4 linked regions of the Arabidopsis thaliana genome follow. The protein of the gene in region 4 interacts with the protein of the main gene of each other region in a pairwise test. Each region holds a gene or a part of one and is shown on either strand. Other genes may lie near its edges. The genes, in order: AG, SHP1, STK and SEP1.

The links.
Region 1: the proteins of SEP1 (region 4) and AG interact in a two-hybrid assay, tested with the Arabidopsis thaliana proteins (one study listed by BioGRID).
Region 2: the proteins of SEP1 (region 4) and SHP1 interact in a two-hybrid assay, tested with the Arabidopsis thaliana proteins (one study listed by BioGRID).
Region 3: the proteins of SEP1 (region 4) and STK interact in a two-hybrid assay, tested with the Arabidopsis thaliana proteins (one study listed by BioGRID).

Annotation. Positions count from the first base shown.
Region 1 is NC_003075.7:10,381,292-10,388,866, reverse strand, and holds AG (K-box region and MADS-box transcription factor family protein), read right to left. Parts: upstream 6,012-7,575; 5' UTR 5,187-6,011; intron 4,956-5,186; 5' UTR 4,951-4,955; coding exon of another isoform or gene 4,827-4,950; coding exon 4,721-4,826; intron 1,886-4,720; coding exon 1,796-1,885; intron 1,722-1,795; coding exon of another isoform or gene 1,714-1,721; coding exon 1,640-1,713; intron 1,538-1,639; coding exon 1,476-1,537; intron 1,389-1,475; coding exon 1,289-1,388; intron 1,203-1,288; coding exon 1,161-1,202; intron 1,077-1,160; coding exon 1,035-1,076; coding exon of another isoform or gene 1,002-1,034; exon of another isoform or gene 905-1,001; coding exon 708-904; intron 599-707; coding exon 595-598; 3' UTR 328-594; downstream 1-327. UniProt on the Arabidopsis thaliana protein: Probable transcription factor involved in the control of organ identity during the early development of flowers. Is required for normal development of stamens and carpels in the wild-type flower.
Region 2 is NC_003074.8:21,736,499-21,742,280, reverse strand, and holds SHP1 (K-box region and MADS-box transcription factor family protein), read right to left. Parts: upstream 4,122-5,782; 5' UTR 3,506-4,121; intron 3,399-3,505; exon of another isoform or gene 3,150-3,398; coding exon of another isoform or gene 3,132-3,149; coding exon 2,905-3,131; exon of another isoform or gene 2,365-2,904; intron 2,016-2,364; coding exon of another isoform or gene 1,978-2,015; intron 1,809-1,977; coding exon of another isoform or gene 1,772-1,808; intron 1,607-1,771; coding exon 1,525-1,606; intron 1,372-1,524; coding exon 1,310-1,371; intron 1,181-1,309; coding exon 940-1,180; intron 857-939; coding exon 815-856; intron 707-814; coding exon 515-706; downstream 1-514. UniProt on the Arabidopsis thaliana protein: Probable transcription factor. Interacts genetically with TT16/AGL32 in a partially antagonistic manner during flower development. Is essential for the coordination of cell divisions in ovule, seed coat development and endosperm formation.
Region 3 is NC_003075.7:6,235,844-6,242,944, forward strand, and holds STK (K-box region and MADS-box transcription factor family protein), read right to left. Parts: upstream 5,439-7,101; 5' UTR 5,281-5,438; intron 5,183-5,280; 5' UTR 5,180-5,182; coding exon 4,896-5,179; exon of another isoform or gene 4,652-4,895; coding exon of another isoform or gene 4,575-4,651; exon of another isoform or gene 4,218-4,574; coding exon of another isoform or gene 4,189-4,217; exon of another isoform or gene 4,018-4,188; coding exon of another isoform or gene 4,016-4,017; intron 3,568-4,015; coding exon 3,385-3,567; intron 1,808-3,384; coding exon 1,726-1,807; intron 1,636-1,725; coding exon 1,574-1,635; intron 1,480-1,573; coding exon 1,380-1,479; intron 1,289-1,379; coding exon 1,247-1,288; intron 1,184-1,246; coding exon 1,130-1,183; intron 1,053-1,129; coding exon 870-1,052; 3' UTR 532-869; downstream 1-531. Other genes in the region: AT4G09950 (P-loop containing nucleoside triphosphate hydrolases superfamily protein), read left to right, coding at 36-173, 260-469. UniProt on the Arabidopsis thaliana protein: Probable transcription factor. Is required, together with TT16/AGL32 for the maternal control of endothelium formation, which is essential for female gametophyte development and fertilization, and seed formation.
Region 4 is NC_003075.7:16,371,829-16,375,688, reverse strand, and holds SEP1 (stress enhanced protein 1), read left to right. Parts: upstream 1-1,952; 5' UTR 1,953-2,177; coding exon 2,178-2,223; intron 2,224-2,324; coding exon 2,325-2,435; intron 2,436-2,693; coding exon 2,694-2,872; intron 2,873-2,978; coding exon 2,979-3,083; 3' UTR 3,084-3,356; downstream 3,357-3,860. Other genes in the region: EDA9 (D-3-phosphoglycerate dehydrogenase), read left to right, coding at 1-442, 533-628, 977-1,648. UniProt on the Arabidopsis thaliana protein: May be involved in non-photochemical quenching, a process that maintains the balance between dissipation and utilization of light energy to minimize generation of oxidizing molecules, thereby protecting the plant against photo-oxidative damage.

The sequences.
Region 1 (7,575 bases), 6.0 Mb from region 4:
GGCTAGGAAAATGAGCTTGATTATGACCATGATTTATTGAGAACAGGTATGGAGCCATCCGATAATGTTTGCTCTTGGTTTACGAAATGAAGCTAGGCAGAGATAAGCTATTGTATGTGCATTTAAAGAAAATATGGTTAATACTCTTGTATGTGTTTTCACCGAGCAAGACGCGAGATATTGAGACCGGGTGGTGAATGTATTCCTGGTAGGCAGCTACAAAATGAACGAATGTTTCGACATTTTGCAACTGTACCACATGGGGAGAAGGAGGAGGAGGATGGAACTCAGCACATGAATATATATCATTATCATATTGAGACTTTTCTATAATAAAATCATTAATAGAGCAGGAATTGGTAATTAAATACAACAATTGAACTAATAGTACACTTATACACATAGATGTTTTGAAGCAAATTAAGCACATTAATGACATGTCTTTAAGATATTAATTTCACATCAACATAAGCATAAAATTCACTGATACAACATTCATGGGATAAATATATATATAACATGCATTAGCTTTATATTGCTTGCTCAACCCAATTCTGGTTTTTATTCACTCCCGGCCATTTCCTTCAGCCTATATTACCTACAAAACAGCATAAAAGACCAAATCCATGCTGTCAAGTTTTACAAAATGGACCGATTAATAATATAAGACTAGAATGATTGATCGGAGCAAGATTTTGTGTCCTTACACTAACTGGAGAGCGGTTTGGTCTTGGCGACCCGCGGATGAGTAATGGTGATTGTTAGGTTGCAATGCCGCGACTTGGAAATAATTCCGTGAATCAAACGGTTGAGATTGCGTTTGAGGTGGTGGCATAAGCTGCTCGTAGTTAGATCCTCCTGGCATTAGACTTATACTCGGATTGTTCCTCTCATTTTCAGCTATCTACATTACACAAATATATGTCATAAACTATTTATCTACAAGTACTTTCACCATTTTAATCGTTTTCATATAATATTTATTGAAACAATAGGGAAAATTATAGAAATTGATATATAATGTGTACTTTTACCTTTGCACGAAGAATCTGGTTATCGTTATGCAAATCAACTTCCTGCTTAATCGGTGCAATGCAAATGAGCAAAATTATTATAAGAACATATTAAGAATAGAAATTAAGTTAAGATTTATTTCTTACTCTTTTCTGCATGTAGTCGATTTCAGAAAATAAGAGCTCATTCTGTAAAATTAAACAAAAATTAGCAACAAGGCATATAGATTTAATTTGATATTATATTGAAGCATTTATAAAAAAAATAGAATTACCTTCTTGGATCGGATTCGGGTAATACTTCTCTCTAATCTGCCTTCCAAGTTCCTGAGCTCTTTGGGAGACATTGACCCTATCGTCTCACCCATCAATTGCCTAATTGATTTATCAACATATGTTAATATATCAAATAGTTAATAACAACCAAGTAATCAAATATTTCAAGTCAGTTAGATAATTAACCTGTTGGAGTTTTGTATGCTGATTATTTGTTGACGCAATTTGGCTGATTCTTGTTGATAATACTACAACAACAACAAAAAAAAAAAGAGTAAAAGAATGAACAATGTTGTCATGTCATCATATATTAATTAAAATCATTCGTGTAATATTAAGTTACCACTTACCTGTGCATTAATTTCTGCCACCGATCCGGTGTTAGAATTGTCCGATATTGCCTTCTTGTACCTCTCAATAGTCCCTTTTACACTGCAATAATTTTTTTAAAGGAATTAATAAGTTAATTAGACCTATTAACTACCTATTTTCTAAACTTAATCTACGCTTAAATCTGCATTTTGATAAGTAATAAAAAATAAAATTGATAGGGTCAAATCGACCACTTGCACAGTTAAGTGATTCTAATACGAAACCTTAAAAGCAAACATCGGTTCTTTTGAGTCAGAAGAAATGCAACTTAATGTGACACATGATGTGAAGAAAAAACAAAAGTAATATAAGAAAAGGGAACAATTAAATAGTTAATAAAATATTTCCTTAAAGTTGTAACAAATAAAGAATCATTTTATGAAACAATATGAACCCTAAATAAATTAAAATTCCTCTGAAACCTTAAATTTATCGAGCTAGTGATTGGCTGCCAACTGCCATGCTGGCAAAATTAGAGTGACATGATTGGTCTGAACATGTCTAGGGTTTCAGACATGTGACATGTGTCAACAACCCATTAACACATTGGGTATAAATCCAATAGACATTTGATAGTATTAAAATTGTAACCATTGGATTAAATTTAAACGTGATGGATGTAACTAAATGACTTGTCCGAGTAACATCACAACGTTCCATACTTTCCTTATTTGGAATATAATTAAATTTACCATTTATTCTTTTTTCTTGAGTTTCCTGTATATGTACTTGTACATAGATATATATACACAAATACGTATTACAATGACATATTATAGACTTTGATGTCTGAACTCTCAACCTTCTCGATGGAGAGATCATGACCGTAGATTTTTTTGGATCGTAGAAGGCAGACCAAACTCTTAAACTATTGGATCCGTACTAAAAATCTCACTTTCCTCTCAGTACCCATAATGAGAGAGAAAATGATAAAAATCCCTAACATTATTCTCTCTCTAGAAAAAAAAAAGATACTTCAAAAAGAAAGAGAAATTGCATAAATCTATCTACACCAAAGATGTTGAAGCAATTCCAATGCTATACTTCTATGCCAAATCTATTTATTCAGTGATCATTAATCTTTTTACTTCCAAGAAATATGAACAATTTAGTATCCTTATAATTTTTGTCTCTATATATGTAATATGAACATTGGGTATTGACCAAATGAGAAATCTAATATTAAATGGTCAAAAGTAGTAATATGATGACATTTTTGAATTTATAAATAGGTTACAAATTAATTCATTATGACATAAAACCTTCTTGTCAGAAGTCAAGAACTGAAACTAACAAAACTTTATAATAAATTAGTAAAAATACAAGTGAAAAATAAAAAGAAATAATATCTGAGTGATGACGTGATCAAAGATTCTTTAACAAAGACAACAAATCTTACAGACCCAAAACCTAATCTTGCGCTCAATTCCAACCTCTGAAAAAACCTCAAAAATCTTATAAAAGAAAATAAATAAAGAAACGAAACTCTGATTTCGTAGAGTACCCATCGGATATATAAAAAGAAATTAGTAGGTAAATGAAGACTAATTTTGATTGACTGATTTAATTTGAAGTCGTTGTTAGCTTTTCTTGTTTTGGACATGAGAATTATATATTTCAGGACATGAGAGTTGACAACTGTAAACGATTAAGAAAATTGATCTTTTAATTTTCAAACACCATTTAATCTTGACATGTTTTATGTTTTGGTGGAGAAGAAAGTAATCACGTGGGACTCTCTACTAATAAGTATTTGGAAATTGCGTGTCGAATTAGAGATTACTAGTTTGAGTAATGTAGTTCGAAATGAGATTAGTTATTTTTAATTTTAAAAAGAGTAATTTTAAGGAATAACAAAAAAGAGTCCCCATAAGCTAATTTGTCTTAATTACCTCCTTGTTTCATTGACTATTTGAAATCTTGAAAATTCAGTTGAAATTTCAAATCTATGTTTCTTTTGACCACTTCTAAACTAATCTTAGCTCATATATAATTTTCCAAAACTACAAAAATAACACTAACATTTAACATTCTCAAGAGAAAACAAAAACAAAAACTTAGATAACCATCTAAATTGTCCTACATGTACGTATAAGTTCCATTATTTTCTATCACTCATATAAGTTAAAATTTCATGAAAACTCAAAAATCTAGCTAGTTTCACCTTATTCACTCTCACTTACCATCACATGTGTTTGTATCAAATATATGATATGATATAATTCATGAGAGAGAAAGAGAGCTAGAGATAAGAAAGGAAAGTAAGAGAAAGAAGAGAAGAAAAAGAGAGACACAGACATTAACAACAATGGAGGATGGATGATCACAAAACAGAAGATATGACCTCATAGTCCTTCCTTACTCTCTCCCCAATTTGTTTCCCAAAACTTACTTTTATAGTCATAAAAATCAAGTTTTTACCTATTACAACACCAGATCTATAAATATATCTAAATCTTCAAGTACTTGTTAGTAAGGAAAATAGAAAGATATAAGATTTTATTATTATTATAATAACAGAAATGAGTGAAGAAAGAACACCCAACAAAGTGAATCTTAGTTCTACAAAACTGAATCTAAAACTCCACATTAGAAAAAACCCTGATGGTTTCTTATTTCTTTTCATTTATTATCTAACTCTCACTCAGATCTCCTTTAACTTTGTACCATTTCCCTCACTTCATATATCTATATATAACAAATTCTCTCTTTTTATTTAAGTCTTAAGGGAAAATTAATATACACATGAAGAACAAGAAATTAGATCTACAAAATTGTTACAAAAACCCCCGAAGTAAATAAAATAAACATATCAAACAAATATTCCCACTAATGTTAGTGTGTTTATATATATATGTGTGTGGAATATGAAGGAAAAAAGTGAAAAATAATCCTACCCATAAGAGCATTCAAGAAGAAGAGAATCAAATCTAGCTTAGAAGATCGAAAACCCTCGTAAAAGATTTATGCTTTAACATAAACATAAAACCCTAAATCGGACTTTAAAAATAATTTAATTATTAATAAAGTAAGAACAGAGCACGAGAAGAAGAAGAAACCTGTTGTTAGAGTACTCATAGAGACGACCACGGCTAGAGAAGACGATGAGTGCGACTTCAGCATCACAAAGAACAGAGAGCTCGTAAGCTTTCTTGAGCAAACCATTTCTACGTTTGCAAAAAGTGACTTGACGATTCGTTGTGTTCTCGATCCGTTTGATTTCGATCTTTCCTCTCCCAGATTTCCTCAAGGGAGAGGAATCTCCTCCTAGCTCCGATTGGTACGCCGTGATTGCTGCTCCAAAGCCAAAAACGTTTAGGGCAAAATTTGATTAGTACAGAATTACAAGAATCCAACAAAAAACCAATCAAGATTTTCTTGAAAAGACTCAAGATTCTTCATGTTTTCTATTCTTTTGAATTATGGTTGAGATTAAAGTTAAACTATAAAGATTTAATTTAATTCTGTTGCCGACACACATCTTATAGAAGGAATTATAAAGTTGAAGAACTTTATTGATCTTACATTCATATTCTCCTAACAAGAGTTAATCAAGAAAGGATGGTAATACACAAGTTATAAACTAAGAACAAAATTGTTTTGTAACCATAGGGATAATTTAAATCTAGAGTGTGAAAAAGAAAAGTTTTAAAGAGTTAAAGAAGATCAGAGAATTTGTGAATCTTGTTTCTCTCTAAATAACATAAAAAGAATCAAATCAAAACGGGAAAAAAGGAAACTAAAGAAGAACAAAAATTTGGTTTAAGGACCAAAAGAAGTGAAGCAAAGTAATATTATGAAGAAGATAATGTTTGAAAGGATTGGGGAACAACAAAATACTAGCCTGACCTGTTGGGGGGAGAAGAACAAAGGGGAAAGTTTTATTTTTCTTGGGAAAATGATTTTCTGGAAAGTATGAGATTTGGAGAAGTTGCAGAAAATGGAAGGTAAGGTTGTGCTGGTGAAGAGATGGGTATATACATTTATAAAGGAATATTTTTTTTCTTTTTAATTTTCTCTACTATTTATCACCATTTTTCCCCACTTTTTACATCCATATAGTGTCTTGTCAATTTGTGTTTGATTACTGGTTTTCTTACTCACTAAAGCATAGTTTTATGAATGGAATCTATGAGATAAGTATGTGTTTCTTCTTTATTAGATAGAGTTAATATACATGTATTTTCTGAAAAGTAATTCTATTTAAACTGGTTTTGGAACATACACATGTTAGATAATTATGTGGTGAAAGTTGATTTTGAGAATTGACAAAAGTTTTGTACTTGGTTGATAGTTATATATGAGGGAAGTATAATTAATTAAACTGGTGTTTCTTTTCAGTACATTTAGACATATGATAGGTTAAAATAAAAGATTGACATAGAGCAATCTAAAGGTTCACAAAGCATGAGTACATCAGCTTTTGAAATCACATGAAAAATATTATTAATAAATAGTGTTAATTACCATAAATAACACCCACCATACATCCGGACTTTTCATAAATATAATACTTATTAAGGACACCCCCAAATTGAGAAATTGTAGAAATGAATAAATAGTTTTTGGAAATGAAGAAAAAAAGAGAGAGTTATTGGTGGGTAGTTCTTGTGTGGTCTTTCACAAAGGTCTAAATGAAAAGAGGGTTCAAGTTGGGCAATCACTCATGAGATGCAGACTCTACTTACCATTACTTGTCTTTGCTTTTCATGTGAAAGTTTTTGAGGCACTAAAATCTTTGGGTAAATCTGATCAGTACATTTTTTTGTTACAACAAATATCGATCTTCTTCTTTGTTTCTAGTTTTTACTAAATCTTGATCTTTTTAAAGAGGAAAAAATTTCAGCTCTATTCCCTTTTCTTTTGTGAATTGTTTTAAAGATTTAAGTGACATTCTGCAGGAAAATTTGTTTCACTAATTAAGGAAGTTATTTATAAACAAATATATGGTGTTGTATATTTGATACCATTTTACATTATTTTGCCAGAATAAATATAAGAAAATGGATTCTGGATACTGAAAATATTAAAGAATAGAATTTCAAAAAATTTATGATAATATTGTAATTACATGATGAGGTGTAATTTATTCCGTATATAGTAACTGATGGTGTACAAATATAAAGTAACATATAAAAGAAAACTGTGTAATTAGATATATGGCTAAACTGATTATTAGTAGTAAGAACCAATATACTTATCTATTTAATGGTGTGGCAAATATAGAATCGAATGATGTAAAAAGAAGGAGAAAATTACTCAGATAGTGAAGAAAATTAGCATACTATTTATGTTAGTGAGATTTGAAGTTGATGATGTTTACTTGTTGTGATATTGACATATAAAAAAAATGATAAATTAATAAGATAAATAGGGTTTTAGGGTTTATAGGGGAAATAGGGAGATGAAGCGTACTTTTAAGGGGCTGGACAAGACGTAGGGCTTAATTTGGAAAGTTATTTAAGTGTAATGCTTCTGACTCAATTAGAAGGTAACCAGACTTTTCTCTCTTCTCCAACTACTTTAATCTCTCTCTCTTTTTTTACATTTTCTTTTTGACTTTTGTCGCCCTCTTCAAGATCACAGCTCTCCATATTGTTTGTGAAACTACTATATGAATATACATAGGTGACTACTTAATAAATTTTGTTGAAAAGTATCTAACTGTTAAAATAGTTCTCCTAATTGGCTAAATGGATTAAAATTTAACCCAAAATATGGATTAATAATCTTTCTTGTTTTATTTGATAAAGATCTTTGTAGCTCGTATGTGGAAGAAAAAAATTGGGTAGATATTTTCTAACATTTTGTTAAATAAGTTATTTTTAAAAAATGTTGAATAATTGAGGAGCACAATGTATAAATGGAGTAAGGTTATGCCAAAAGAAGAGGGAGAGTAGCATGTGATGTGTAG
Region 2 (5,782 bases), on a different chromosome or scaffold from region 4:
ATTAGACTTTAAGCGTATGAAGCTTCTTTTTGAGATCATTATCTCAAGTAGTAACTATAGTAAAAAATGTAATTTTGTTTAATTATAGCTACACATTAATTTATCACATTATAGATCTTTTGTAAGTTTTTATTTTTGTAATCCATAATTAATTTATGGACATGTTGTAATGATTTTATGATCAATGTTTATAGTTTTGCTTGTCTCTAATTGTGAGTGTTTGGTGGACATGATCTAATCGAAGCTGCAACTATATGTAAATATTAAAAGGCACTTAAAATCTATTAACTGATCGTGTATGCGTCTAATCTTGTATGACAAACTTTGGATCTCGACGTGTTTTAGAACTTTGGATTTAAATGTTGATGTAATTAAGCAAAGAAACAACAGTTTTGTTATTATCATTATTAGAACCTAAACTATGAATACACAGTCGCGTTATAAATATAAAATGAACTCTCTCGTCTCTCTCTTAATCGTTATGAGGAGAAGAAACAAGTTATCATGTTTTGAGTTACACAAGTTGAAGAGGAGGTTGGTCTTGGCCGGAGAATTGCTGATTCGGTTCAAGAAGGTTCACCGGAATATAGTTCCGATTATAATGCTGCGACTGGTCATGAGAAGATACACCGGATTCGTAAACTGTCGTCCCTTGTATCACACTCGATTCCTGCTGGTCCGGATTCAATCTGGCGCCTTCGGCTATCTATTAAACCCAAAAACAAAAGTTTTCTTGTTATTCACGTTATCTTAGTTATACAATGAAGAAAAGAGTAGATATTGAGATTAAGATTTGGAACAGAACGTGGCTAACCTTTGCTCGCAGGTACATGTTATTGTGTTGCAACTCCATTTCCTACACATGATTTATGGGAAAACTCAAACCCTCACAAAGACGAAGAAAGATCTAATTACTTGGAATGGGAGAAACGTTCTTACCCTCTTCTGCATATACTCTATCTCTGCCACTAACAGCTCATTCTGCAAAATTCTCACAAAAGGGTGATGAACTATATAAACTAAGGGACTATATATAGAGAGAGAGACAGAGACACAGAGAGAGAGCAACGTAGATTTTACCTTTTTGGAGCGGACACGGCTGATTCCTTTTTCAAGACGTCCTTCTAGGTTTTTGAGTTCCTTGAAGTTCAAGGAACCAAGTGATTCCCCAACAATATGCCTTCAATTTGTAAACATGAACATTAAACAAAACAACTTCTAAAGAAAACTACAAGCGGACTTTTGGACCGACACCAAATTAAGTGACCTAATACCAAATCGAAGAGTTCATGAAAAGTTAATGAATTACCTATTTGAATTCTGAATATCTCGAATCTGCCTCCGAAGCTTAGAGGCTTCTTGCTGATAGTACTTCAAAAATCCATGTATTCAAACACCATAACGAAACCGTTTCAATGCATTTCCAAGAACTCTCTCTTTTTGTAGGTTATATTTTTTGTTGATCATATATATAATGAAAAGAAGAAGATAAAACAAAGAGAATCAAACAATATAAATTGGTACCTGAGTATTAGCTTCGGTGACGGAAGGAGGGTTGACGGCATCGGAACAAGCTTTCTTGTACCTTTCAATTGTACCCCTCACACTAATAAGTAAGATCGCGGAAAAAACATTAGATGTATACATTGTAGGAAATTCTTGATTAATTAGAGTTAATTTCGAAATGTTTTTTTTCCTGAAAAGGGAAGGCTTTGGAGTTTGGACCAATATCTGACCAGTACGAGGAGAAAATTTATAAATTTATTCTAACACATGGCTTGAATAGATCCACAAGTTTTTTTTTTTTTCTTAATTCACAAGGTATTATAAACAAACAATGTCTTAAAGTAAGGATATATAAACATACTAGTAAATATTATGGTTTCGAAATTGGTAATTAGGGTTTGAGGAGGAATTAGACCATGTATCGTGTATATTACATGATTCAATGTCATCATGAAGGTATCTTTAAAGGACTTTTTTTTTTTTTTTTTTCTAATAACAAATAAATGAAGCTCAGAATGCCAGAGATTCCAATTGGCTCGTACCATTTTAATTTCCGACACTTCTCTGAGTTCTCTCCCTCTCATTGATATATCAATGCAACAAATATACATATATATATATATATACACCCTAAACAAAAAAAATAAAAGAGACTAAATCTTTAATTTCATTATTTGTACAATTTTACATTTGATGACTGATAACAATGTTAGACAAAGTCATCCGTGTGTTTATTGATTTTTAGGACTTCTAGTTGGACAAATTACCCTAAATACAAATCTACATAATATAAAGTTATTTAAAAAAGAGGGTTGAAAAACTTCAGCATATAAATTCTCAAAATTTTGTTTCATTTTTGTTGGGATTAAATGATCAAATGGATCCCTAGTGACAACTCATCAGTAGACTTTGTCCCTAGTTTCACCAGACAGAGGTTACATAAGTCTTGATCATCCCCTATTTTTATATATATATGCTAAATCGTGTCAAGAACCCAATTTTTTTCACTGAAGTAAACCCTAGGAAATTTGATGGGCCGTCAAAATTAAAAGTGTATTGTAGAAACTGACATGCATCAGGTTCAAATGATTTGCAGAAAAAAGAGTGAAACTAAGGTCAAAGCTGATCAGAATTTGAGAAGACAAGATAACTTTTTCTTCTTCTTCTTGCATTTGCATACATATACACACTTACACACACACCCACACATATATAGAGGAGAGAGTACTAAATCTAGCTAGAGAGATATTAAATGTATCAACAAGTGAAATCTGGTTTTCTAAATTAACCAAACCCTAATCTTGGCTCTCAATCCCCACTTTGTTATCATTTGAACTAGGATCTTGTTTAGTTAAAATTAAGAAAACAAGATCAAGAAATAGAGTAGGAGAAGCGTACCTGTTGTTGGCGTACTCATAGAGACGGCCACGAGTGGAGAAGATGACGAGGGCAACTTCGGCATCACACAAGACAGAGAGTTCATAAGCTTTCTTGAGAAGACCATTGCGTCGTTTGCAGAAAGTAACTTGACGATTTGTTGTGTTCTCTATCCTCTTTATCTCTATTTTCCCTCTCCCTAGTTTCTTGCTACTCTCTGCGTCGTGACTACTCCCACCTTCCTCCATTGATCCTATATATGACATCACCAAATAATTAAATAAAGATTTCTAAATTCAAGAAAGATATCTAGAGAGAGAGAGAGAAGGCTAATCTTGATGATCAAATCCCTTTTCCTGATCAAGAATACATAACCAAGAAATAGATCAAATCCATGTTCTGGTCTAGAATTAGGGATGTAACTAAAAAATAAAGAAACTTTGTGTGTTTAAGAGTTATTAATCTACTTTATAATGATCAAATCTCTTTGTTGATAAGCAATAACCAAGAAACATATCAAACCCATGAATTGGTTACACAAGAATCAGAGAAAGAAGAAACATTTATTTTAAATCTCTTATTTTTAGGGTTAATGAATGGTGCATAATATTCACAACCTTACCTGAGTTCTCAAGATTACGATAGATCAGCAAAAAGGAGAAGGTGGGTAATGAGAAACTGTTCTTGAAGAGAAACTATATCATTTATCTCAGTACCACTTAACTGCTGCTTCTGCTTTTCTAATTATGTTGTTCTTGAAAATATCTCTCTTTCCTTTTGTAATATCTATTTTGGTTTATGGGTTTTCAATTGAAGGAATATTTCTTTGAAGGTTATAAGACCCTACTTGCTGAAAACAGAAGGTTATTAGTTTTTCTTTGTGCTCAAATATATTTATACACAGAAGAAAAAAGAAAAAAATGGACAGATCATCTAACAATTGTCCAAACAGCACATACTCAACATACCTAGAAACTCACACTTTTTTATTCTCTATACATGCATATAAATAGATATGGATATCTATAAGTGAGATGTGTATTTTCTTTTTACAGAACTAGAAACTGAAATTGAAGGGGAAATTAATTAAATGGTTAATAATAAGAAAGAAAAAAAGAAAGAAGAGAAGAGTAGGTGGAGGACATTGAAGGAGGACCATCCGATTTCTTTCATGGGAAGGGGAAAAGGAGAGGGATGGGCTCTGTTTCTCATCAGAACCATCTTTTGGAAACTCCTTATTTTTGGTAATCTTTCTCACCTTTTCTCTCTTCCTTTTTTACCCTTCTGCATTACCATTAGATGCTCTCTATCGTATCAAATTTATGCCAAAGTCTAGAATGGGTATGTGAATCAAGCCAAGCAAAACCAAGCTCTAACCGAAACCAAATATTGTTTTTCTTAATGTTCATGAAGATGTTTTTGATAATCACTTTATAGTGTTGAAGAATGCAGTTAACGAACTCTTTTTGCAAGAAATATAATACAAAGTTGAGCTAGAACCCTAAAACATAAAATCAAGTTTTACTTTTAAGAAAAAACGTTTTACTCTTTATCAAAAAAAGTTTTAAGGTCACCAAATTACAAATATCGCAACTCTTGAAGAAAATCGGAAAATATCGCAAACTTCAGATTATTGAAGGATTCATGAATCATTTAGGATATCTTCCTCAATTTCTAGAAATCTTTTGTAAACCAAAAGTTTATGGTAATTTTGGAATTAAAAAGAAAAGGTGGACATATTTGGAGGGATTTTTTTTTTGCGTGGGGACATTCATTAACTACTTGCAACGTGAGGACATATTTAATTTATTTCATATATGTAAATACGCTATACAGAAAATGTACCAATGATGAGAAATGCATAATAATCTTAGGTGAATTAAATTGTAAAAATAAATGAAAATTTGAATCATTCATGAGAAAGTCGATGCCAAGAAATACACATAGAGACGTAGGTGTGGTATAATATGGATATATGATGACAGGGACTTGCATGTGAAACTTGCCTCAACTTCTCCTAGTACCTGAATCCTTTATGGGAAATAGGGTATAAGTAGTTGCTTATTGTTCTTTAGTCCTTCATCTTCATTTTTCTTTGTGCTTTGAGCTCTCTTGAACATTGTGGATTTCGAATCTTTCACTCTCTTAGTTTCATCCTCTACAAAAATATCCAGACCAAATAAAAATCATATTAGTCTTTTCTTTTGCGTGGGTCCTCGAGTGACAACAAATTTGATAAGACATCTTGATTAAATTCTGAGTATCTAGACATCGCTCATGATTCAAAATTGTTGAACATAACTGTCAAATTTCAAGCATTTTTTAAATAGAAACTAAACTTAATGGAGTACTTAAAAAATATTTAACAGATTATTTTCTTTTCGATTTTTTTGTTAATTAAAAAAAAAGTTAGGACGAGAAGTCATATGCGAATACACTACTTTTAGGCTTAAAAAAGATACAATTTAGCGACTAAACCGAGAGGAATTTGACAATGATATTACTATCTATGAGGTGGTTAATCTTATCGCACAAACGAAAGACTAAATCTACTAATATACGTATCTAATCTTCCGTGTAAATTTTGTCCATATATATTTAGAAACATTGAATCTTGATTATGAGGTTAATTATTTCATTTATGGAGATAATATAATCTGAAAGGTTTGCCGTATTGTGTCTTAGTGAAGAAGTAATAATAATGACATGCATGTTAAAGTTAAACGTGTGAATTAGAATTGCACTGAAAGCAAACTTGAGAACTTGATGATGAATACGTTGGATCCACAAATATGACCACTGATACAGAAATCCATATTTAAAAAGCCAATTTGACACTTGGCTGGCAACATATTAGGGAATAAGCATTATCTCTGGCATTGTCAAAACCTCTTCAAGT
Region 3 (7,101 bases), about 10 Mb from region 4:
ATATCTGAGTTAAAATTTCGTCTCTTTGGTTCTAGGAGAATGAGGCCACTATAAAGGAAAAGCAGAAGCAGATTGAAGAAATGAAAGGTTGGTCTTCAAAACAAGAGATATCTCAAATGAAAAAGGAACTAGAGAAATCGCATAACGAAATGCTTGAGGGGATAAAAGAGAAGGTGATTAAATTCATTCATTGGTTTATATGTAACGTGTATATAAATGAATAATGTCATCATTACAAGTTGTTGTTTTCTTTGGTTAGATCTCTAATCAGCTGAAGGAATCATTGGAGGATGTGAAGGAGCAATTAGCTAAAGCACAAGCCGAGAGAGAGGAAACGGAGAAAAAGATGAATGAAATTCAGAAACTATCTTCTGATGAGATCAGGAGGCTAAGAGAACAACTCAACAAAGCTGAGAAAGAAACTGCTTCGTTACGCACCGAACTCAACAAGAAATGTACTGTTCTTTGATCATATCTTAAAATGTTCTATGTATGTATGATATGAAACAATAAACCAAAGTCTTGAAGGATTATTATACTAATACTTCATTGTACTATGAGCTAATAATACATCAAAAACATATGTTATGTTCTCTGTTGTTAAGTAATATGTAAATGCTATGTTTTATGGTCATATGAATCACTAAATAAGATACCATAGAATAGATACTATGATACGAAGCAATAAAAACTAGAGTATGTCTTAATCATTACACAACACAAATTGCAATGAGTCTTGAAGGACCAATACCTTCATTGTACTTTGAATTATTTTGCACCAAAACATATTTTATGTAGAGATAAATCTGAGCAAAGAATCCCCAGATGCATGCAGAGAGTTATTGCAGCTCGGTTTTTCGCAGACGAGATTATCCGAGATGAAGAATTTTCTTGTCGGGATCAGAGTAAGAACCTCCATTACCAGATCCAGAACCAGCAGTCATAATGCTATGAGCAAAGTAATTGCGTGAGGCTAAAGCTTCAATTGCATTAATCTCTGAACCACTAACCATTTGATGATGGTGTTGTTGATACCTCTCCACTTCTGCTACCTGTTAAGAAACATAAAAATTAGTATAACAAGTGATTGATTCGACATGTCTATGGACTTCACACACACTAATATTACCTTAGTTCTTAGATAGATGTTCTCATTGTCAAGCTCAATCTCCTGCAAAATTAACTATACCATATTCAAAGATTCACACAATTAAAATTTAGAGCAACCAACTTGAGCTTTGCTTACCCTTTTCTGCGCGTTTTCGATTTCAACTAAAAGCAACTCATGCTGTTTTTCACAAGAGCAGATTTAGAATATGTATTGTATAAACATAGATTCATGAAACTGATGAGTCTTGTAATATGTTTTAGATGTATACCTTCTTGGACCTGATCCTAGAGATAGCTTTCTCAAGGCGATTCTCAACTTGTTTTAGTTCCTTGACACTTAAGGAACTCAAAGAGTCTCCCATCAGATTCCTAAAACGTTATTAAAAATGTGTTACAATCAATAAATTTACATATATATATGGCTGGAAAAGATGGTAAAATATAGTTCAGATATATATAAAACCTGTTGGAGTTTTGAATCGTTTGGATCTGTTGTCTCAGCTTAGCAGATTCTTGTTGATAGTACTGTATTTCAAGCATCATCAAACTATAAGAACATATATGCATACGTATGTGATGTTAGTGAAGTAAAGAGATGGAGACAAAAAGTGAAACCGCGGCATTGATTTCTTGGACAGTGCTAGTGTTGGTGCTATCAGAACAAGCTTTCTTGTACCTCTCAATGGTTGATCTTATGCTGTCACAAATAACAATCCAATTAAGTCAGAAACATAGAGTACTTATGCAATTTATTAGCAATGTGGTAGTCTAATTAATTAAAAATTAGTGTCTAAAGAACAAATCAAGTATATTATGGCCACCATTTTTTATTTGTCTAAACGTAAACACAGATAAACAATTAGACCCCAATTAGTCTGAGCTAATTACACCCTAAAATGTTTTAAAATATATAAGATCTCATGAATTTTGTTTCATGTTTTGTCAAAAAAAACGTATATATTAAAATATTTGCATCTGTAGAAGGATCTTAATAGTTTAACTAATAAAGTAATTAAGAAGATCATCATATATGTTGCCTGTATCATTAACAAATTACAAACAATGTATATAAACTCTGAATAATGTGGAACAATAATAAGTTTTTTTTGTATTCAAATATGCAACTTTATTTAAAAATTGGGTTGTAACTGAAGGACAGAAAGTGGAGTTGATACTATGTGTCATGTAAAAAAGGAAAAAAAGAAACTGAATGTTTTGGATATATAATATCGTTTGAAGTGAGTGACTTTAAAGGAAATGGATATAAGATGAAAGAGCCAAAAAAAGAAAGGAGAAAACATGAAGCAATAGACTGATCTGCTTAAGATGAAAGAGGAAAGAAGAGTACAACAAAACTACATGACATCTCTCGCTGCACAATTGTTTTAAGTTCCAAGAAAAACTTTGACAAAAGCAAAAAAATAATCAAAAAGACTTGTTGACCAACTGCAACTGCAAGTTAGCTTGCATGATTTTGGTACTTAAACCCATTGTACTAGATTTTTCTCTTTCTCTATCTCTTTAAGATTTTCTTTTTTTGATAACCTGGCTTTTAAGATTTTCACAAGATACATAGGTAATATATGAAAAATAGTATGTATATATGATGTCAAAAAAATAGTATGTATATATAGTACTACTTTTGGACTTGTGTATATTTATGTTTACTTTTGTCAAATATGAAATATTCATGGGTATGCATATGTAAATATAGCTAAAAGTAAATATAGACTCATGAAATTGAAACTTCATATGTACATGTATATGTTATTTGTTAAGAACTTCATATGTGGGAGGACTCCAAGTGTGGTTCGCATCGAGATAACATCGAGGATATAGGAATTTATAATTATGCTAGGAAAAGTTTGCATTTACATGTATAAACGTTTATTTTTTCTTTGAATATAATTTAACATTAAATTCAAAAAAAAAAATGTATTTGTTATTTGTTATATGGTGTTGCTTAGTGTAGATTTTTTTTTTTTTTAAATGGTTCAACCTATAGAGTATAGACCAAAAAATCTCATCTCTAGATCAATCTCTTCTATATTTTATCTCTATTATTTTGCATCATTTTACTTCATAAACTAAGACACCTATACGAAAATATTGCAAAAGATAAATCTTTTTTGTAGCTCTAATGTATCTAATGGTAGCTCTTATAGTAATGATGCACTAAATTCATTTCTCAAACGATCACAAACAAAAGTTGGCACATTTTTCAAACCTTATATGTTTTATTAGGATATTTATGGTTGAAATGAAATGGCTTACTTGTTATTGGCGTATTCATAGAGACGGCCACGAGTGGAGAAAACAATGAGCGCAACTTCTGCATCGCAAAGGACCGAAAGCTCATAGGCTTTCTTCAGAAGTCCATTTCTTCTTTTGCAAAACGTCACTTGTCGATTTGTTGAGTTCTCTATCCTCTTTATTTCTATCTTTCCTCTTCCCATCCTTCATTTTAAACATCAAACAACACTTAGAATTGCTCAATTTCGGCAGTATTGGTAAGATAAATATTAACACACAAACTAGTGGCAGACTGCAAGAAGATAAAAAAAAAACTAAAGCTAGGGTTTGAATTAATGTACTTAATTAATACATACCAAACTCGACTTTTGTTATATATATTAAAAAAAAAGTTTTCTTTCTGTATCCAACTTTCTCGGGAAATTCAATTAAGGATGTTGTTGATTGATCTCAAGGACAGACAAGAATCAACTGAATCTGATGTTGTTGGAACTAGAGTTTAAGAATTTATTCAAATTACAAGATTATTAATATATATTACATGTAATTCTTGTTAGCTAGATAGGTTCTATATGTATTATCTATATACTTAACTAACTCATCAGGAATTGTTTTTTTAAAGCCAGGGAGATAAAATCTGACAATATATTACATGGTTTTTTGGTACCCAGATACAAATAATTTTGACCCATCCCGTGTACTATCTCCCTCCCTCTTCAATAAATGTCTATAAGGCTTCACGGGGTCAAAATGGAAAACAACATATACGTAATGATCTTAGATCTGGAAGATGTAAATACTTTAGACATATGTAATATGTCTTACAAATTCATTGATCTGATGTATGTAGGCATTCTTACGCATTCTTTAGTTTGTTTTCACAGAGCAAAAGATTAAATAACTTTTGATAAAGAAAAAAAATTGGAAATATGGAGAGAGAAAACAAATCAAATTGATATTGAAGAGGAAGAAGAAGAAGGCACTGATGCACATGAAACTGAAGTTATAGTACATAAGGGAAACACAAGAAACATTATTACACAGAAAGAAGAGAGAGACAAAACCATGCTTAGTTTCGAGAAGAGAGGAAGAAGAAATACAACAGATTTGGAAGATTTTCAGACTCAAAAACTCCACTTTAGCTGACAAGAAAGGAAAGAGAATCTAGCAGAGATCTACATGTGAGAAACTAAAAAAAAAAAAAAGATAACCTAATTCTTAATCTGGTGACCAAATAAAACCCTTGTGATCTTTCTTTCTCTTTCTTTCTTTCATGGGGAAAGAGCATCAAACAGAAGAAAGTAACAAAAATAAGGAAAATAATTCATAATTGTGAAAATTAAGTTTTCTGGAGAGACAAGGCAAGAAAAAAACCCATGATGACAAGAATTATTACAAGCTTGGAATCTGCATATATAGAGATATAAATGTAGAGTTTTTGAATGAAGAGATGTGTACAAAGATGGGAACTTGATGAGATCAAGAAGTGTTTTCCTTTATGAGAAGAAGAAGTAAAGACATGACAGACAGACCTGAGAATTTGCTTCACCCAACTCAATTCAGCTTTCGGAAACTCTCTTTCTCTTTCTTTCTCCTTTATAAAGAAAACAAAACAAAAGAAAGAAAAAAAAAATGAGGAAAGTTTATTTTGAGTTTTTTGAGAATCCCAAAAACAAACCCAAATTCTTTTCTCTTCAAAAACCCTAAGCTTCTCACTCAATATGTCTATTTGTAGACGTTTCTTTCTTTGCTCACCTTCCAATGTCCAAAGTGAGATTGCGATTGCTGCGGTTGCGGTTGCCACTTGCCAATGCATTTGCTATATTATAAAAAAAAACCTGAATCTTAATTTTGAATAGAAAAAATTTTAAGAATGAAAGGAAAAAATAACGAGCAACCAAAAAAAGTTATTTTAACCTTTCTTTTAAGCTAAATCGCACATATAAAGTATTAGTAGTATTTAAGATTCCTACAAAACTCTTAAGTGTGAGTATTTGTTGTTTAATTCTTATTTTTGTAGAGAAATGGAGACTCTAGCTAAGCTACATGCGCCATCATTTCATACTTTGGCCAAGTTCACGGCAAGACCAAGATTTGGGATCTCCGAAGATGCAATTATATTAATTGTTCTAACTTTCATTACTGGATATATAATGAGGTAAAAAAATTAATTGCATGGTAAAAAAAAGTGAAATAATAAAACCATGGTGTTTCAGTGATTAGGCTTATCATTATGAATTTATAATCTCAAATTTTGCAATTGCAATCACGGTTTTTTTAATTTCCCGGTTACAAAGAAAACTTCAAAAAAAACATTTATATAGTTTCACTAAAATATATAAAACAATAAGAAATAGTTTTTTTTTTGACAAAGAACAATAAGAAATATTTATTTCATTCTTAATATGATTGGCAGTACATTAAGGTTTAATTAGTTCATAACATATAATATTATTACTAAAATTTTGAAATTATTTTTAAAAATTAATTCTAAGATTGCGAGCAGTAGAAAATATATAGCTCCTTTCTTAAGCGACATTTTGTATTTTGAGACAGTCAACATTTTACCACATTATTGTCTTGTAATACTTTCTCGTTATTTTCAGTTTTTTGATGATTATAATAATTAATCTCCTCTCCAAAATGGTAAAAAGAAACAAAATAAGGAAAAAGTAAAAAAAAAAAAACATTCGTTAACTTTTTTTTACAACCATTTTCAGCCATATGTAAGGAACATATTTGAGGCATAATTTTTGTAATTGGAAGAATCCATGACCTAATCATTAACTAAATAATACATGAAGTTTAAATTTGCAAATTAAAGCGTCGATAGTGACCAACGATGAATTAATAGTAAAAATATGTGAGACTGTTAGTTAATAGTAAAATAGACGAACCCTATCATAAATCCAAAAGAAAATTATGCACCACTCAAAATATATAATTGTACCACCACTCGTTGGTTATTAGTGTTTTTTTTTTTAATTTAGACATGTGTGATTTATCATTTATACAACCTAACCTTTTACTTAACTTAAACATTTTAATACATATACATAACTTCCACGTAAATGTACGTACATATGTTTCATTCTTTCAAGAAAGTGAGAACATACCCAACAAAAACGAAATGAAAAGTTGACAGATAAATGTGTTATATATACACCTACATATTGAGATTAATATATGTATAATGTAAATTTTGAAATGATATATAATTTATATATTGAGAAGCAAATATTAAAATTTAAGATTTCTTTGGTGGAAAATTAAAGAGAAAGGTGAAATTGCAGAGCTTAATTTAGGGCTCGAAAGTGACACGCAAATTGTATTATTGCAGAAGAGAGAGACAGAGAGAGTAGATGTTGACGTTATTGGTGCATCTCCTCATTTATTTGCCCTAGCTAGTTTCCATCTTCTCTTTGACTCTTTCTTAAGCAAAATTTTGTTTTTATTTTCCTTCGTCAATCACACGAAACTCTAAAATCCAAAAACCCTTTTATGTATTACTAAGTTACCAAATATAAGTCACCCAAATTATTGTTACATCAATGTTTAGACTACGCTGTTTAGGAAGTCAAATGGCTCTTTCACGACAGCCTAAACATTAATTAAATTCAGAAATCTTACTTTAGATAGTTTATTTTTGCGAATAATATTATAGGGGCGTAGATAGATTCCATCCCCAATCCAACGATATAGTATATGGCTTAATATAATTAATACTTTTTTAATATG
Region 4 (3,860 bases):
GACCCTTGCAGTGTTGGGATTCGGGAAAGTTGGGACGGAAGTTGCTCGTCGTGCTAAGGGTCTTGGTATGCGTGTCATTGCTCATGATCCCTATGCCCCAGCAGACCGTGCACACGCCATTGGTGTTGACTTAGTGAGCTTTGATGAAGCCCTTGCCACCGCGGATTTCATTTCTCTTCATATGCCTCTTACGCCAACAACATCGAAGATACTAAACGACGAAACCTTTGCCAAAATGAAGAAGGGAGTTCGAATTGTTAATGTTGCTCGTGGAGGTGTCATAGACGAAGATGCGTTAGTGAGAGCTCTGGATGCTGGTATTGTTGCGCAGGCTGCACTTGATGTTTTCACCAAAGAGCCTCCGGCTAAAGATAGCAAGCTCGTGCAGCACGAGAGGGTCACTGTGACACCTCATCTTGGAGCTAGTACCATGGAGGCTCAGGTGTGCAATTCATTTTACAGTTCAGGTGATAATTAATCATGAAATTTCTGTTTGGCTTCTGTTATATAGTTGGTGTTTTGGCTTTGACAGGAAGGAGTTGCCATCGAAATTGCTGAAGCTGTTGTTGGAGCTCTGAATGGAGAGCTTGCTGCTACTGCAGTCAATGCACCTATGGTTTCTGCTGAGGTGAGCACTCGCTTGTGCTAGTAAATACACACATATTGGTGTTGTTTCAAAGAGGCAAACTTATCAGCCTATTTACTGTAGCTAGCCTGGGAATGAATGTAGCAAATTATATTTGTTCCGAGTTGGTTAGAAAGAAGTTAGTGAGCGGCAAAATTGTTGAAGTGAGGGTGGGTTTTCTAGGGATTTGTTTTAAGAGCCTCATTAATCAAGTTTCTGTGATTTCTGAATTGGATTTTAGACTAGCAAGGTTTATAGCTTTGTTCTTATCAGATTCAAGTTGGAAGATTTCAATTGTTAAGACTATCCATGTTTGTTATTTGCTCAAGCTTACATGCATTCTATCTGCAGGTTCTGACCGAGCTGAAACCATATGTGGTGCTAGCCGAGAAACTAGGAAGACTGGCAGTGCAACTGGTGGCCGGAGGAAGCGGTGTGAAAAACGCGAAAATCACATACGCCTCAGCAAGAGCCACTGATGATCTTGACACCAGACTTCTCCGAGCCATGATCACCAAGGGAATCATCGAGCCAATCTCTGACGTATATGTCAATTTGGTCAACGCTGATTTCACAGCCAAGCAGAGAGGTCTCAGACTCTCAGAGGAACGTGTGCTTTTGGATGGTTCACCAGAGAGCCCATTGGAGACAATAACTGTTCAGCTAAGCAATGTGGAGTCCAAATTCGCCAGTTCCCTGTCTGAATCAGGAGAGGTTAAAGTGGAAGGAAAGGTTAAAGACGGAGTCCCGCATTTGACAAAGGTTGGATCTTTTGAGGTCGATGTAACTCTTGAAGGTAGTATCATACTGTGCAGGCAGGTGGATCAACCTGGTATGATCGGGACTGTCGGAAGCATCCTTGGAGAGTCTAATGTCAATGTTAACTTCATGAGCGTTGGGAGAATTGCACCGAGGAAGCAAGCGATTATGGCGATTGGAGTAGATGACATACCAAGCAAAGAGACACTGAAGAAGATTGGGGAAATTCCAGCGGTTGAGGAGTTCGTTTTCCTCAAGCTCTAGTTTGGTGTGTTGTTGATTCTTGAATCTTAAATCTCACCGGTGAAGATTTGATGTTGTTTGTTGGTTTAGGCAATAATGTTATTTTGGCTTTCATACAGTTTTGGTAACGTTGAGAGTAGTGTCTCTTTGATGTTTCAACTTTATGGTTTCTATTACTTGAGTGCTTCTTTCTTCTCTGAATATTTATTTCCTGAATATTAGTGACCACAAATTGGTTTATAACCCAATTGAACGAACCGATGTAACTATCGTAGAGAATCTGTTAATTAAGCCAATCCAATTTTTCAAAATTGGTTTGGTTTGGTTCAGATTAGGTTCGGTTTGCTCTAAGAGATGCAGTTGTTTGTGAAACGCCACCGTTTTGGAAAACTGTGTAGCTCGAAAAGATACGAACTTAATGAGTGGAGAGAAAACACGTGTCCTCAGCTTGAACAGATAATTCTGCGACTCTTGAGAAAGGAAGACGAAGGAAGGAGAATAGTAGAAGAAGAAGAAAGGGAGAGTCTTGTGATATCTACGTAGAAGGAAGATGGCCTTATCTCAAGTGTCTGCGTCTCTCGCCTTTTCTCTTCCCAGTACTCTTTCTTTCTCTCTTCGCTACCCTTCTTCTTCCTCTAGTTGTACAATTGTCTCTATAATGTATGTATCTGACTAGTTTCGGATTTCATGTTTCCAGATTCTGGTGCCCTAAAGCTAGCCACAATCACAAACCCAACTTCTACATGTCGGGTTCATGTTCCGCAACTTGCTGGAATCCGATCCACCTTCGCTTCTGGTTCTCCTCTCTGTACGTCTTCCTTGCCCCTGAGAAAATTCTTCAATTCTCTACATTTTGAAGTTTAGTTTGAAATTGGGCTCAAATTTTGATATTTCTGATTACTGAATTGTTCATATATAGTTTGGTTATCTGAAATATGGGGCAACAATATTTATCATAAAGTTTTCTAATTTTGCTTTCTGCATTGTCTTTGTTAGCTGAGTAAATCCATGGAAAAATTGAAACTTTGTTTCTTTCGTTTTTGTATGTTGTGTGTGTCCGTTTCAGTGCCATTGAAGTTGAGTATGACCCGTAGAGGAGGAAACAGAGCAGCATCAGTTTCCATAAGAAGTGAGCAAAGTACAGAAGGAAGCAGTGGTTTGGATATATGGCTTGGTCGTGGCGCCATGGTTGGTTTTGCAGTTGCCATTACTGTTGAGATTTCCACTGGAAAAGGACTTCTTGAGGTAATCAAACATCATAACTGATATTGTTGCTTATATAAAAGTTGAAAGTTTGAGAAATGTAAGAGAAGTAGAATAACTTAAGATTTGATTTGTCTTCTTATTTCAGAATTTTGGAGTAGCAAGTCCATTGCCTACGGTTGCTTTAGCTGTTACAGCATTGGTTGGTGTTCTAGCTGCGGTTTTCATCTTCCAATCTTCTTCTAAAAACTGATCGACAAGAATCTTGTTTTGTGATGCTGCCGAGGATCATTTTCTTGTATTAAGAATCTTGTATTATATATCACTGTAACTTCTACATCCATCAGTGGAGAATCTTACATTCTTAGTTTTTTTTGGCAACATACATGATCTATACATGTCTTTTGGCCAAATCTTATTTTTATATTTTTAATACATGATCTATAACATGTATTAAGTTTGAAAACATAACAAAATTTTTGTAACAAAAATAACCAAAATATTATTTGAAAAAGAAATATCCAAAGTTTTAATAGTAATAATACAAAAATAGAAGTTTGAAAACATTTTTTAATAAATAAAAAAGTGTTAAAAATTTATCACAACGCTAACAAACAAATTCACCTAACCGTTTACTTTTAGAATCAGAAATAAACAACAAAAATAAACTTTCAGAAAGTTGCAGTTTCACATATGTTACAAACATCATCAGATTCTTTGAAACAAAACAGTAACCAAGAAGTTTCTTATGCATAGCTTTGTTCAAAATCAATACTTTGGAGTTAGTCAATTAAATTCATATGCAAATCTCTGACCTTTTGCTTTTGTAAGCTAAATGCATTGAAAAAAGGGAGAGGCTCTGGATCAGTGTGCTCATGGTGGGCCGGCCCATCACTATGGGCTGTCTAAAACAAAAACAATTTTGGAAGGCAAAAGGTATAATAACCCCGTCCCTGTATGTTGGGCTAGGCCTGTCCAGTATCCACCACCACTAACTCAATTCCCCCATTATTACAAATTTACAATCTCT